Kluyveromyces lactis: one gene and its partners. The protein of the gene in region 1 interacts with the protein of each later gene in a biochemical or structural test. Links are inferred from orthologs where the notes say so. Each region holds a gene or a part of one and is shown in the gene's direction. Other genes may lie near its edges.

Evidence for each region.
Region 2: of the proteins of UME6 (region 1) and GCN5, one has a biochemical effect on the other in vitro, tested with the Saccharomyces cerevisiae proteins (2 studies listed by BioGRID). The link is inferred for Kluyveromyces lactis from reciprocal best matches to the Saccharomyces cerevisiae genes UME6 and GCN5.
Region 3: of the proteins of UME6 (region 1) and KLLA0_F17006g, one has a biochemical effect on the other in vitro, tested with the Saccharomyces cerevisiae proteins (2 studies listed by BioGRID). The link is inferred for Kluyveromyces lactis from reciprocal best matches to the Saccharomyces cerevisiae genes UME6 and RIM11.

The regions. Positions count from the first base shown.
Region 1 is NC_006042.1:1,922,757-1,927,041, forward strand, and holds UME6 (DNA-binding transcriptional regulator UME6), read left to right. Parts: upstream 1-1,391; coding exon 1,392-3,755; downstream 3,756-4,285. Other genes in the region: KLLA0_F20658g (uncharacterized protein), read left to right, coding at 1-343. UniProt on the Saccharomyces cerevisiae protein: Component of the RPD3C(L) histone deacetylase complex (HDAC) responsible for the deacetylation of lysine residues on the N-terminal part of the core histones (H2A, H2B, H3 and H4).
Region 2 is NC_006037.1:454,956-458,484, reverse strand, and holds GCN5 (histone acetyltransferase GCN5), read left to right. Parts: upstream 1-1,478; coding exon 1,479-3,029; downstream 3,030-3,529. Other genes in the region: ATG7 (Atg7p), read left to right, coding at 1-1,045; PUP2 (proteasome core particle subunit alpha 5), read right to left, coding at 3,274-3,529. UniProt on the Saccharomyces cerevisiae protein: Histone acetyltransferase that acetylates histone H2B to form H2BK11ac and H2BK16ac, histone H3 to form H3K9ac, H3K14ac, H3K18ac, H3K23ac, H3K27ac and H3K36ac, with a lower preference histone H4 to form H4K8ac and H4K16ac, and contributes to H2A.Z acetylation.
Region 3 is NC_006042.1:1,561,346-1,564,638, reverse strand, and holds KLLA0_F17006g (serine/threonine protein kinase RIM11), read left to right. Parts: upstream 1-1,532; coding exon 1,533-2,780; downstream 2,781-3,293. Other genes in the region: KLLA0_F17028g (uncharacterized protein), read left to right, coding at 214-732. UniProt on the Saccharomyces cerevisiae protein: Serine/threonine protein kinase that is thought to function in regulating kinetochore activity and entry into meiosis. Could phosphorylate IME1.

The DNA.
Region 1 (4,285 bases):
TCAAGTGTTCAAGGACATCTGGAGCAATCAATTCTTGTTTTGGTCCATTGTTGGTGGGTTCTGTTCCGTGTTCCCAGTGGTTTATATCCCAGTAATCAACGACAAAGTGTTCTTACATTACAATATCAGTTACGAATGGGGATTCGCAATCGGATTTAGTTTCGCATTCTGGGCAGGCGTTGAATTATACAAATATGGTAAGAGACATTACTTCGGCATCAAGGACAGAGTCGACAATCCAGAAAATGATTTAGAAAAGAGAGCAGTGCACGATCCGTTCGAACAATACACTACTTCCTTCTCCAGAATGAATACTTTTCACAACGACGAGAAGACTATCTGAAAGTTGAAAAGATGCAGGAATAAGCGGTGCTTTTTAATTATTTTTAATCTACAACTTATCTGGAACAAATGTATATTAGCAAATCCATATGATAAGTATCATCAATAATTTAATTTTTATAAATACCATACTACATTAACAAAAGTAGTTTATCTCACTTTAGATCGATTTTACTCTAGTTTCCCGTCAAAACTCTTTATATTTGGCCTGAATCGATTAAGACTTTGGGCCCAAAAGTTACTAAGCCGGAACAACTGATTATGACCGGGTAATACATGGTCTTTACTCTTTTCAAATCTTTTTCTCCCTTTCCAGCGTGTAAAATAGTTTCAAGACAATTTTCGTCAAGCGATACGCCCAATGGATAAGAAAAGTCAAAAACAGTCAAAAATTATTCCCACGGGTAATTAAAGAAACCCACCATCTTAGCGGGCTACATATGTAATCAGCTACTGTATAACAGCAGTGCACCTTACAAACTTCAGATATCCTACTAAAAACAAAAAACCGAGAAGCAAAGCAAGGTCAATGAGCTTGCTTAGATGGCTAGTACCATTGCCGTTCCCTTTTTTCTTCCCTTTTCTCCCTTCTGATTCGTTTTCTGCGCTTGTTTTCCTGTAGTTTTTCGCTCAAAAAAAGGCAAAAAAACGCCTAATTGAATCTCGTTCGAAAATCACATCCAAGGCGTTGTTTATTTATTTATATAAATCGAATTTTACAAATGTTTGATTTCTCTTACTTGTTTTAGTTTATTGTAATATACTCTACTTTATTTTTTTATTCTTTATGAATGCTTACATTCATTGAAACCGCGATCCTCTATGAATTGACAGGCTTCTGGTTCAATCTCTCTTACTAATTACGAACCCGCTCATTCCGTAGCTCCTGGCTTAATACCTGATTGTGTTTAGTTTCAAGAGTCTTATAAGGGGGTGAGGAGAGAATCGGTTTTTTTTTAACTCAAGAGTAACACAAACTCTTGGCGCTAAGCGCTGGCCTGAAACTTAGACTGAAGTTTTCTTCAAATATAAAAGAACCTTCGGAATAGATGGTTCGTCAGAAAAGTCAAATTGAGCGGCGTGCTGTGAACTCTGTTCGTTTATCCTCCTCTTCTCCGTTATCTTCCAAAATGCATGTGCCGGAGAAAAGTACCCCGCCAAGTTACCCTGACGAACATTCAAAAACAAACGCCGCCCAAGTGGAGCTAACCGCCCAGCGGGAAGTGACCAAAATTGATGAAAAACAAGAAAACGAAAAACAACAACGAGTGAAAACAGGTGAAAAACAAACGCTGCTGCGACATACACCAAGGCTCAACCCCTTGATACATTTAGCGATGTCTCCTACTGCTGCTCCGAATAATACGCCTGTGGAGGAAAACGATCTACAACAGGGTGTTATCTCTCCTTCACGTGGAGAGCCTTCCGGGATTCCAGGGACAAAGCCTCAAACCGAGGTTTTGCCGCCACTTCCTCGTTACGGAGAGACTAAGCAAGAGGAAAAGGAGGTTGCCGTGAAATTTGAGAAAAAAACGGGTACCCAAGACTTTGATCACGTGGTTTCGGCTGATAAACAACATGTTCCAAAAATAAATACGCGTACACCATCTATCTGTATATCCAGTAGCAATACGCTGCCGAACACTGGGAAAGGGAGTAGCACCTTATATCAAGACTCGCGCACTCCCGTGTATTTGTTCAACGATAGGATAGACTCTGGTCAAGTGAGTGAAACAGAAACACTTCACGATTCAAGAAAGGGCGAGGAAATTCAAGCTGATACTGGTAGTCATCAAAATGAACGCATGCTGCGACAAAGCGGACATAGACTCGAAGGCAAAAAGGGCAATGGCAGAAACATTGGTAATCCTGGAACTGTTTCACATGACGGTGCGAGCGGTATTGCTGCGCCTTCATCTTCGCCGATCCTTGAGACCTCGAGCGCTTCCCGTGATAGAGATCTGCATGCCACAGGAAGCGCCATGACTCCAAAAAGACTACATTTTGATTGTTCCACAGAGAAAATAGATCCGGGTGCAGGCATCTCATCAATTTCAGCTCAAAAGATCAATATTACTTCATTACTAAACTCGAGATCGACAGCAGAATCAATCTCGCCCCCTCCATCTACGGCAGGAAATGAATACACTATTCATTTCCCATCCTCAGCAGCGTCAAATCCTCCTCACTCCACAGGATCCTTCCTACATCCAAAATATCAAAATCAAAACCCGCAGGTCTCATCTACCATGAATAGAATTGTTTCTCCAACCTATATGTTCGAAACCGATCAGGTTCATGGTCCTTTCAGTAATTCTAGTAGTGGCAGTAATAGTAGTGGCAGTAATAACGGTAGCACAGCAAACAGTAATAACAATAATACACATATTACCTACCAACCGAAGTATTTCAACACAAAATTCGATGAGTTAAGGAATAGAGTGTTATTAGGATCCTCAAACGCTTTTCCGAAAGTAGAGTCGGCTAACAAGTATCCATATAATAGCACAATGGTCAACCCAACTTTGAATGATCAAGATTCCAACGTGGATGCGGAAGCTGCCGCAATCATTTCTCAGATGAGGTCTTCCCCATTACCCCCATTTAACGAACAGTTCGGCTCTGGCAATCATGATAGCCGACCGAATTCGTCATTATCAAACCAATCTCTCCAAAATAATGCCTTTAATCCGTTCTCCAAAAGACTTTTACCTAAGCCAGTGCTTCGGGTTAACCAACGACCATTGACTGGCAACCAGGATGAACTCGTTATAATGGAAGAAGAGGATGATGATGATGACGGGTATGGCGATGGTGATTACGAAATGACCGAAGGGGGATCAAAGGCACCAGAAACTGTTGCATGGAATAAGAATGGAAAAAGAAGATTGTCCAGAAGAAGATCAGGCCCACCACATTATCAATCTCAATTGACAGGAATTAAAAATGAGATTGGAGACCATCCAGATACTACGGCATACCCCGCTGCGGATATCTCGGAAAATGGTATGCATATAAAAAGATCAAGGTCTTCATCATTATCTACTGAACACACTGGATTATTGTCACCGAATTCCAAACATGCCAAACAACTGAAGTTTAAAGAATCTAATTACAATAATGATGTTTCTAACGAGCAAATGGTCAAATCAAGTGATCAAATAAAGAAAAGAAATGCTACGGGGGCACGGTCAAGAACTGGCTGCTGGATCTGTAGATTGCGTAAGAAGAAATGTACAGAAGAGAAACCGCAATGCCAGAACTGCGTGAGGTTGCACCTCGAATGCTTTTACGACATAGTAAAACCCGATTTTATTTCAGATCCTGCTAAAAAGGCAGCAAAACTCGAAGAAATTAAAAAGAAAACAAAAGAAGCTAAGAGACAAGCAATGAAAAAGAAGACTTGGTTATAATCAAAGAGACAATCATCTCTAAATTCTTCTCAGACACACATCTGTATCATCAGGTGTTCTCAGTTTTTTTACAATAATGGACAACCCCTCAAAACTCTATAGATACCATTTTTGACTGAACTTTTATGATTATGTTCACCTCCCAATATATAATATACTCAGATATATTTGCTGTAATAAATGTGTAGACTGACTTTAATATACAATGTATGAATTGTACGTATTTTAAGCACAAAGCTTAGGGAATAGTATGGAAATGATTTCAAAAGACAACGTAGTTCAATATTTAAACTTTATGCTGCTTTCAAAGGAGGATTGAGATGATATGAGGATCAACAAAATAAAATAAGATAAAATAAAAGAACATACAAAATATAGACACATACATTACAACCAAAATTTGGAATAATTAAGATAAAATTTAAAAAAGTGTCGTTTCAGTAACTAAGGAATAGAGAAAAACAAGGCGTTAAAAATAATTATATGTGAATCACTTCAGTACATGAAAGGTAAACACATTTTTCAATCCG
Region 2 (3,529 bases), on another chromosome or scaffold:
GAAAAATGGTCTTGGAAAATTAGCTCCGAAATCGGCTGACTTAAGCTCATTGATGGATCCCGTGAAGATAGCAGAACAATCCATTGATCTCAATCTCAAGCTAATGAAATGGAGGATTGCTCCTGACATTGATCTAGAAAGAATAAAGAACATTAAAGCATTGATCTTGGGGTCAGGTACCCTAGGTTGCTACGTGGCTAGAGCTTTATTAGCTTGGGGTACTCGTCATGTAACTTTTGTCGACAACAGCACTGTCTCTTTCTCTAATCCGGTAAGGCAACCATTATTCAACTTTGAAGATTGTGGGCGACCAAAGGCCGAAGCTGCCAGTGACTCTCTGAAGAAGATATTTCCTTCTGTCGTTTCTGCAGGTTATCAATTGGAAATACCAATGATAGGACATCCTGTATCGAACGAAAGCAAGCAGAGGAAGGATTATGAAATTTTGGACGAGCTTATAAGGACGCATGATGTTATATTTCTTTTAATGGATGCACGCGAGACGAGATGGCTTCCCTCGGTGCTTGGACGAATGCATGAAAAAATAGTTATTAATGCGGCCCTTGGTTTTGACAGTTATTTGGTAATGAGACATGGCAACAATAATGACAACCTGGGTTGCTATTTCTGTAACGATATCGTGGCCCCAAGTGATTCTCTAACTGACAGAACATTAGATCAGATGTGTACTGTAACTAGACCGGGTGTTGCCCTATTAGCGGCTTCCCAGGCTGTTGAATTATTGGTGACATATCTTCAGCCTTCGACGAACGTGCTTGGGTCAGCTCCGCATCAAATACGAGGATTTCTAAATGAATTTAAAACTGTAAAACTTGAAACACCGGCATATCAGCACTGTTGTGCAAGCAATGAAAATGTCATTTTAACTCTAAAGGAAAACGGATGGAATTTCGTGAAACAGGCGCTAGATGATTATAAGTGTGTGGAGCAATTAAGTGGACTGTCGAAGGTGCAAGAGGAGGCTGAATTGGCAATTCAAGAAGATATTTCCTTTGATGACGACGAGGAATTGTCAATAGAGTGAAGTATAGCCAGTGCATCTGACAGGCTGATGCGTGGAATGATGTGACATGCATTCCTTTTGTGATGAAGCGTAGAAATCGATATTCGTCGTTAGGAAAAGGTGTTTATCTCTGATTTAACGGTCAGGATGAAATTTAGTTTTATAATTCCCAAGATAAATATAAGTCTTGCACAATTTGCAGCGTATTACGCCATGACGGGCTTGGTACACCTACATAACTGGGCCTTTTTCCGTGATCCATCAGCTTATACCAGGCATGTTTTAGATGTAGACTAAACTCGTTATCCGACTGTGGTGTACGGATGTATAAATCAACTTGAAAAATTACCAAAGCATACAAGAACGGGAATATATATTAGGTCGAGTAGACAGGATAAATAGTCACACGTAGACAAGATAAATAGTCACACGTAGACAAGAAGCTAAGCACCAAATGCCACCGAAGAGACGCCACCATGGTGCTGGAAGAGTCCAGAATAAGAGGGGAAAAGTTGACACTGTAAAAGAGGAAATCAAACCCAAAGATGAGCCTGTGGAAACTGAAATCGATGGCGGATCTGCAGTTGATGAAGATGTTACCGATGATTTAGAACACAAGACGAGCAAGGAAGACCAGAAGGAAGACCAGAAGGAAGAGGACGGACCTATAGATGCACAGAACGGAACTTCTGAAACAAAAGTTGCGGGGGAATCCGTAAAAACAGTGGAAGACAAAATCGAATCAGTTACAACGAATGAAGAGGTCGTTGAATCACCAGTCAATGACTACAATGCCAGTAGTACAACTACCAAGGCTGAAGAGAAACAATTAGAGGAAGAAGCAAATGAAAAGACGGATACATCTCCTATAGTTGAAAATGAGGTCGTTGATGAAGAGGCCGGCACAACAAAATTTGACTTTGATGGTCAAGAATACAGTTATAAAGACAGACCTAGTGTAATAGAAGAGAAGGAAGGAAAGATTGAATTCAGAGTGGTTAATAATGATAATAGCAAGGAAAATATGATGGTTTTAACAGGGTTAAAGAATATCTTTCAAAAGCAATTGCCTAAGATGCCCAAAGAATATATTGCTCGTTTAGTTTACGATCGTTCACATCTTTCTATGGCCGTGGTACGGAAACCGTTGACTGTTGTTGGTGGAATAACCTATAGACCTTTTGATAAAAGAGAGTTCGCAGAAATTGTCTTCTGTGCTATTAGTTCGACCGAACAAGTCAGAGGTTACGGTGCACATTTAATGAATCATTTAAAAGATTACGTGAGGGCAACATCGCCAATAAAGTATTTTCTAACATATGCGGATAATTATGCTATCGGGTATTTCAAGAAGCAGGGATTCACGAAAGAGATCACATTGGACAAGAATGTCTGGATGGGATACATAAAGGATTATGAAGGTGGTACCTTAATGCAATGTTCCATGCTGCCAAGAATCCGGTATCTTGATGCAGCAAAAATCCTCTTATTGCAAGAAGCAGCAATTAGAAGGAAAATTCGTAGCATTTCTCAATCTCACATAGTTCGTCCAGGTTTGAAACAGTTCTTGGATCTTGATAATATAAAACCCATCGATCCAATGACAATACCTGGTTTAAAAGAAGCTGGCTGGACTCCAGAAATGGACGAACTGGCGCAGAGACCAAAACGTGGCCCTCATTATGCAGCAATGCAAAATCTTCTCACCGAATTGCAAAATCATGCAGCGGCATGGCCCTTTTTGCAACCCGTCAATAAGGAAGAAGTCCCCGACTATTACGAATTTATTAAGGAACCAATGGATTTGAGTTCTATGGAAATGAAACTAAACGGGAACAGATACGAAAAGATGGAAAATTTCATATATGATGCAAGGTTAATATTTAACAATTGTCGTGCGTACAACGGTGAAAACACATCTTATTTCAAGTACGCAAATCGTCTAGAAAAATTCTTCAATTCTAAAGTCAAAGAGATTCCAGAGTATTCACATCTTGTGGATTAATACTAACGATAATGAAATACTAATTTGTCGATATCTTTGCGTACCTGAACAGTCTACATGGCGAAAGTTGGCACATATATATATGATATGTATAAATATACATATACCGAAAGTGTAACATTAAAAGGCTCAGAAGGAGCTCCTGTATGTATACAAGCAATCCATGATTAGAGAAATAATGAAATTTTATAATCGATTTTCTGTTGATTAATAACGTGTTTCGAAAGACAAGGAGTGTAATCTATCACTCCATTTCGACATCCGAATGTTCGGACCCAGGAGGCTTCTCCTCCTTTTCCTTTTCCTTTAACTCTTTTATAATTTCAGCAGTTTTCTCATCTGAATAGATTTGAAATCCCTCTTTTGTGATACTGCTCAATTGTGCATTATTTTCATCTAATTTCTCTTCCATTACTTGCTTTAAGATCTTTAACACCAGCGATTCCGCCTCTTTCAAAGTAAGCGATGAATGCCATTCGTTTTGTAATTCTGATTGTGCA
Region 3 (3,293 bases), about 360 kb from region 1:
CGAGAAGCAAGCAGCACAAACCACAGTTGACATATTACTTGCACGACATTTGTGTCTGATAAATGAATTTACAGTAGTGATGAAAAATTTGTGTAAATAATTCACGCGTATATAACACCAGAGGTTGATAAACTCCATCGTTTAGATGACTTCACCAAGAACGAGAAAAGCCATACCCCGACCAGTCGTAACCACCAGCAATACAGACGAAAGATGTTCAAAAAGATTAGAGATAAGATTCATCCAACATACAATCCTGAGGGCATCACGTGGACCAGACGCAAGTCTGGTCCACAAGTGGTAGCCGAAGTACCAGTTGTTGTCGACAAGAAAACTGGACAGAACGGCAAGGCCAAGAGCAAGAGCAAGGATAAAGCTGCCGGTGCACTACCTTGTCATGACAGATACACAGAAGAGCTCGATGTCGAGCTCGTTGTGAAACAGCTCAGTTTGGAAGACGAACTGAAATTGGTACATGATGTAGCGATGGAATCCATCGTTGCGTCTGACATTTCATCACCGTCGTCTTCATCGACAACAACGGCTTCCTCTGACAAAAATGCTAAACACGTGACATCCAAAGCTTCGTCTACCGTTCCGCCCCACAAACAAATTACCGGCAATAACGCCGCCCCATCACGTCGGGTAACAAGTATGTATACAATTTTCAATTTGGAACTTTTTTTCCGACCCCCTTTCCCTATCGGCACCCTTTGCTCCATTTGTCCTTGATCCCTGCCTAGGTGGCCCCTGAGTGGCTTCCCTGCTTGGTTTCCTGGATGTGATCGGACTAACGGAGAAGTACTCACGAACTTCCACTTTTCCCTGGCATCCGGTTCCAGGAAAAACTATACTATTTGAACAAGCAATCTTCTTCCTATTAAGTAATACTACGAAGGGGCAAACTGTTCAGTAGTCTGGCTAGTCAGTTCCTAGATTATTCTGTCAGACAAAACACTTTTCTTGCTTTCTACGCATATACAAGGGAAGGCTCTCAACCCAGTCATGCTTTCAGGCAAAAAAAAAAAAACTATTTCGATTTCTCTCTCCTTCAATTTTCCAGTAAGCTGATTCGATACAATAAATGTCTGGACTAACAAAGCAATTTGCAAGCAGTTTTAGTTTACTCTTTCCGCTTAGTATTTATTGTCTGAATAAAACTTTGAGAAAGACATGAGGACATTGGAAAATTTTTCATTGAGCCAGACAAGAAAGACGATAAAACTGTTGTTTTTAACCTGATTCTCTCCCCCCCGCATAATATTTTGAATCGGTGTGCGCGTGTGTTTGTGAGTGCGTGTGCTGAATATTTTATTTTACTGGTCTTAGAAGACGTTGCGTGTTTGAAGTTTTTGGAAAATTTGGTGAAATTTAAGGTAAAAAAAAAAGAACACCAAGAACAAGACTTCGCATATAACAATTAACACACACAGACAGATCAATCACTTCTTATCTGTTGTGAGAGAGAAAGGATTCAGAGAAAAGTGTGCATGTCAGCATAGTTTTAGTACAATACTCCTTTTTTTTTTTGAATGAAAGTTGGTGAATTGCTCGAAAGTAGCGGTGCCGGTGGTTCAAGATCTATTATTGCATATACTAACGATAAAAACGCTGGTTTTGAGACAGAGATGGATTCCATTTTACCCAGTGATGATTTAAAACAAGGCAGTCTTCATAGTAAGAACAGTCATGGTAATGATGTTAAAATCGTTCCAGATGAAGACGAAGTAATAACCCGAAGGACTGTGGTGAAAGGCCATTCCAACCCCGAGGAGTCAGTTGTTATTTCATGCGGCACACCTGAAATTGTGGGAAATGGTTCGTTTGGTGTCGTTTTCAGAACAAAAGTGAAAGAGACTGGGGAGGATGTTGTCATTAAGAAGGTTCTACAGGATAGACGGTTTAAGAATAGAGAACTGGAGATCATGAAATTGATCAGTCATCCGAATTTGATCGATTTGAAGTACTATTTCCTTGAACAATCGGACCAAGAACTTTATCTAAATTTGATTGTAGATTACATGCCCATGTCTCTTTATCAACGGCTCAAAGAGTTCATTTCCTTGCATCAACCAATGGATCGTTACGAAATCAAGATTTACATGTTCCAATTGTTCAAATCTTTAAACTATTTGCATCAAGTGGTCAATGTCTGCCATAGAGACATCAAACCACAGAATATTTTGGTGGATCCAGATACTTTACTGTTGAAAATCTGTGATTTGGGGTCTGCTAAACAGTTGAAACCAAACGAGCCCAATGTGTCATATATTTGCTCCCGTTACTACAGAGCCCCAGAGTTGATCTTTGGTGCTACCAATTACACAACAAAGATTGATATTTGGTCTGCAGGTTGTGTTATGGCTGAACTGCTATTAGGACAACCCATTTTCCCTGGTGAATCTAAGATCGATCAATTGGTTGAAATTATTAAAGTTTTGGGTACACCAACCAGGGAAGAGATCTGTTCCATGAATGAAAACTACTCCGAACATAAGTTCCCTCAGATCAGACCGATCCCATTGAATAGGATCTTCAAGAAGGAAACACAGGAAACTATAGACTTATTATACCATATCATGAAATATGATCCTAATATCAGATACAGCGCTTTACAATGTATGTTCAATTCGACGTACTTCACTGATATCGTCAGCAACACCGGGTCGGACTCAAACCTTTCGTTGATCGATTCTTTACCATTGCTACATTTTGAGGAAAGTGAATTACAAGGGTTGTCATCTAACGATATATATAGATTGACTGGCAAACTGATATAGAACCGACAAGACAAAAGGAAAACTAAAAACAAAAAAAAAGACTAGTTGAGAGAAGGAAATATGCAAATACAAATGCATTAATGTAACGTTCTACCCAGCACATCCAAAGAAAATGAAATTAATACACGAAATTAATGTGCATACAAATAGTTACTTCTCATATGCCTACTTGTTGCAGGCAACACCGTTGTTCAATGCTATCCTACGCTCCCCCCCTTTGCATATCATATTTCTCTTCAATTTTAAAGTTCATTTCAATGTCTTTCGGAAAACCTATAGTTCTATCCTGTCCCTAATAGTGTTCATATTGGGCAGTGGATTCTTTTTATTTATGTTAAGCATTCCCTATTCCTCACTAGGAAAAGGGCACTTGGACATCATAATTCTTCCTTTTATAGCAATACTTTTCTTTCTAGCTTCCGTCCTACCTTTTTCATACCGGATTTCACCTTGTCAGTTCATAATAATATCAATACTCACCTATTAAGAGCCACATGACGTGCGTGCGATTGA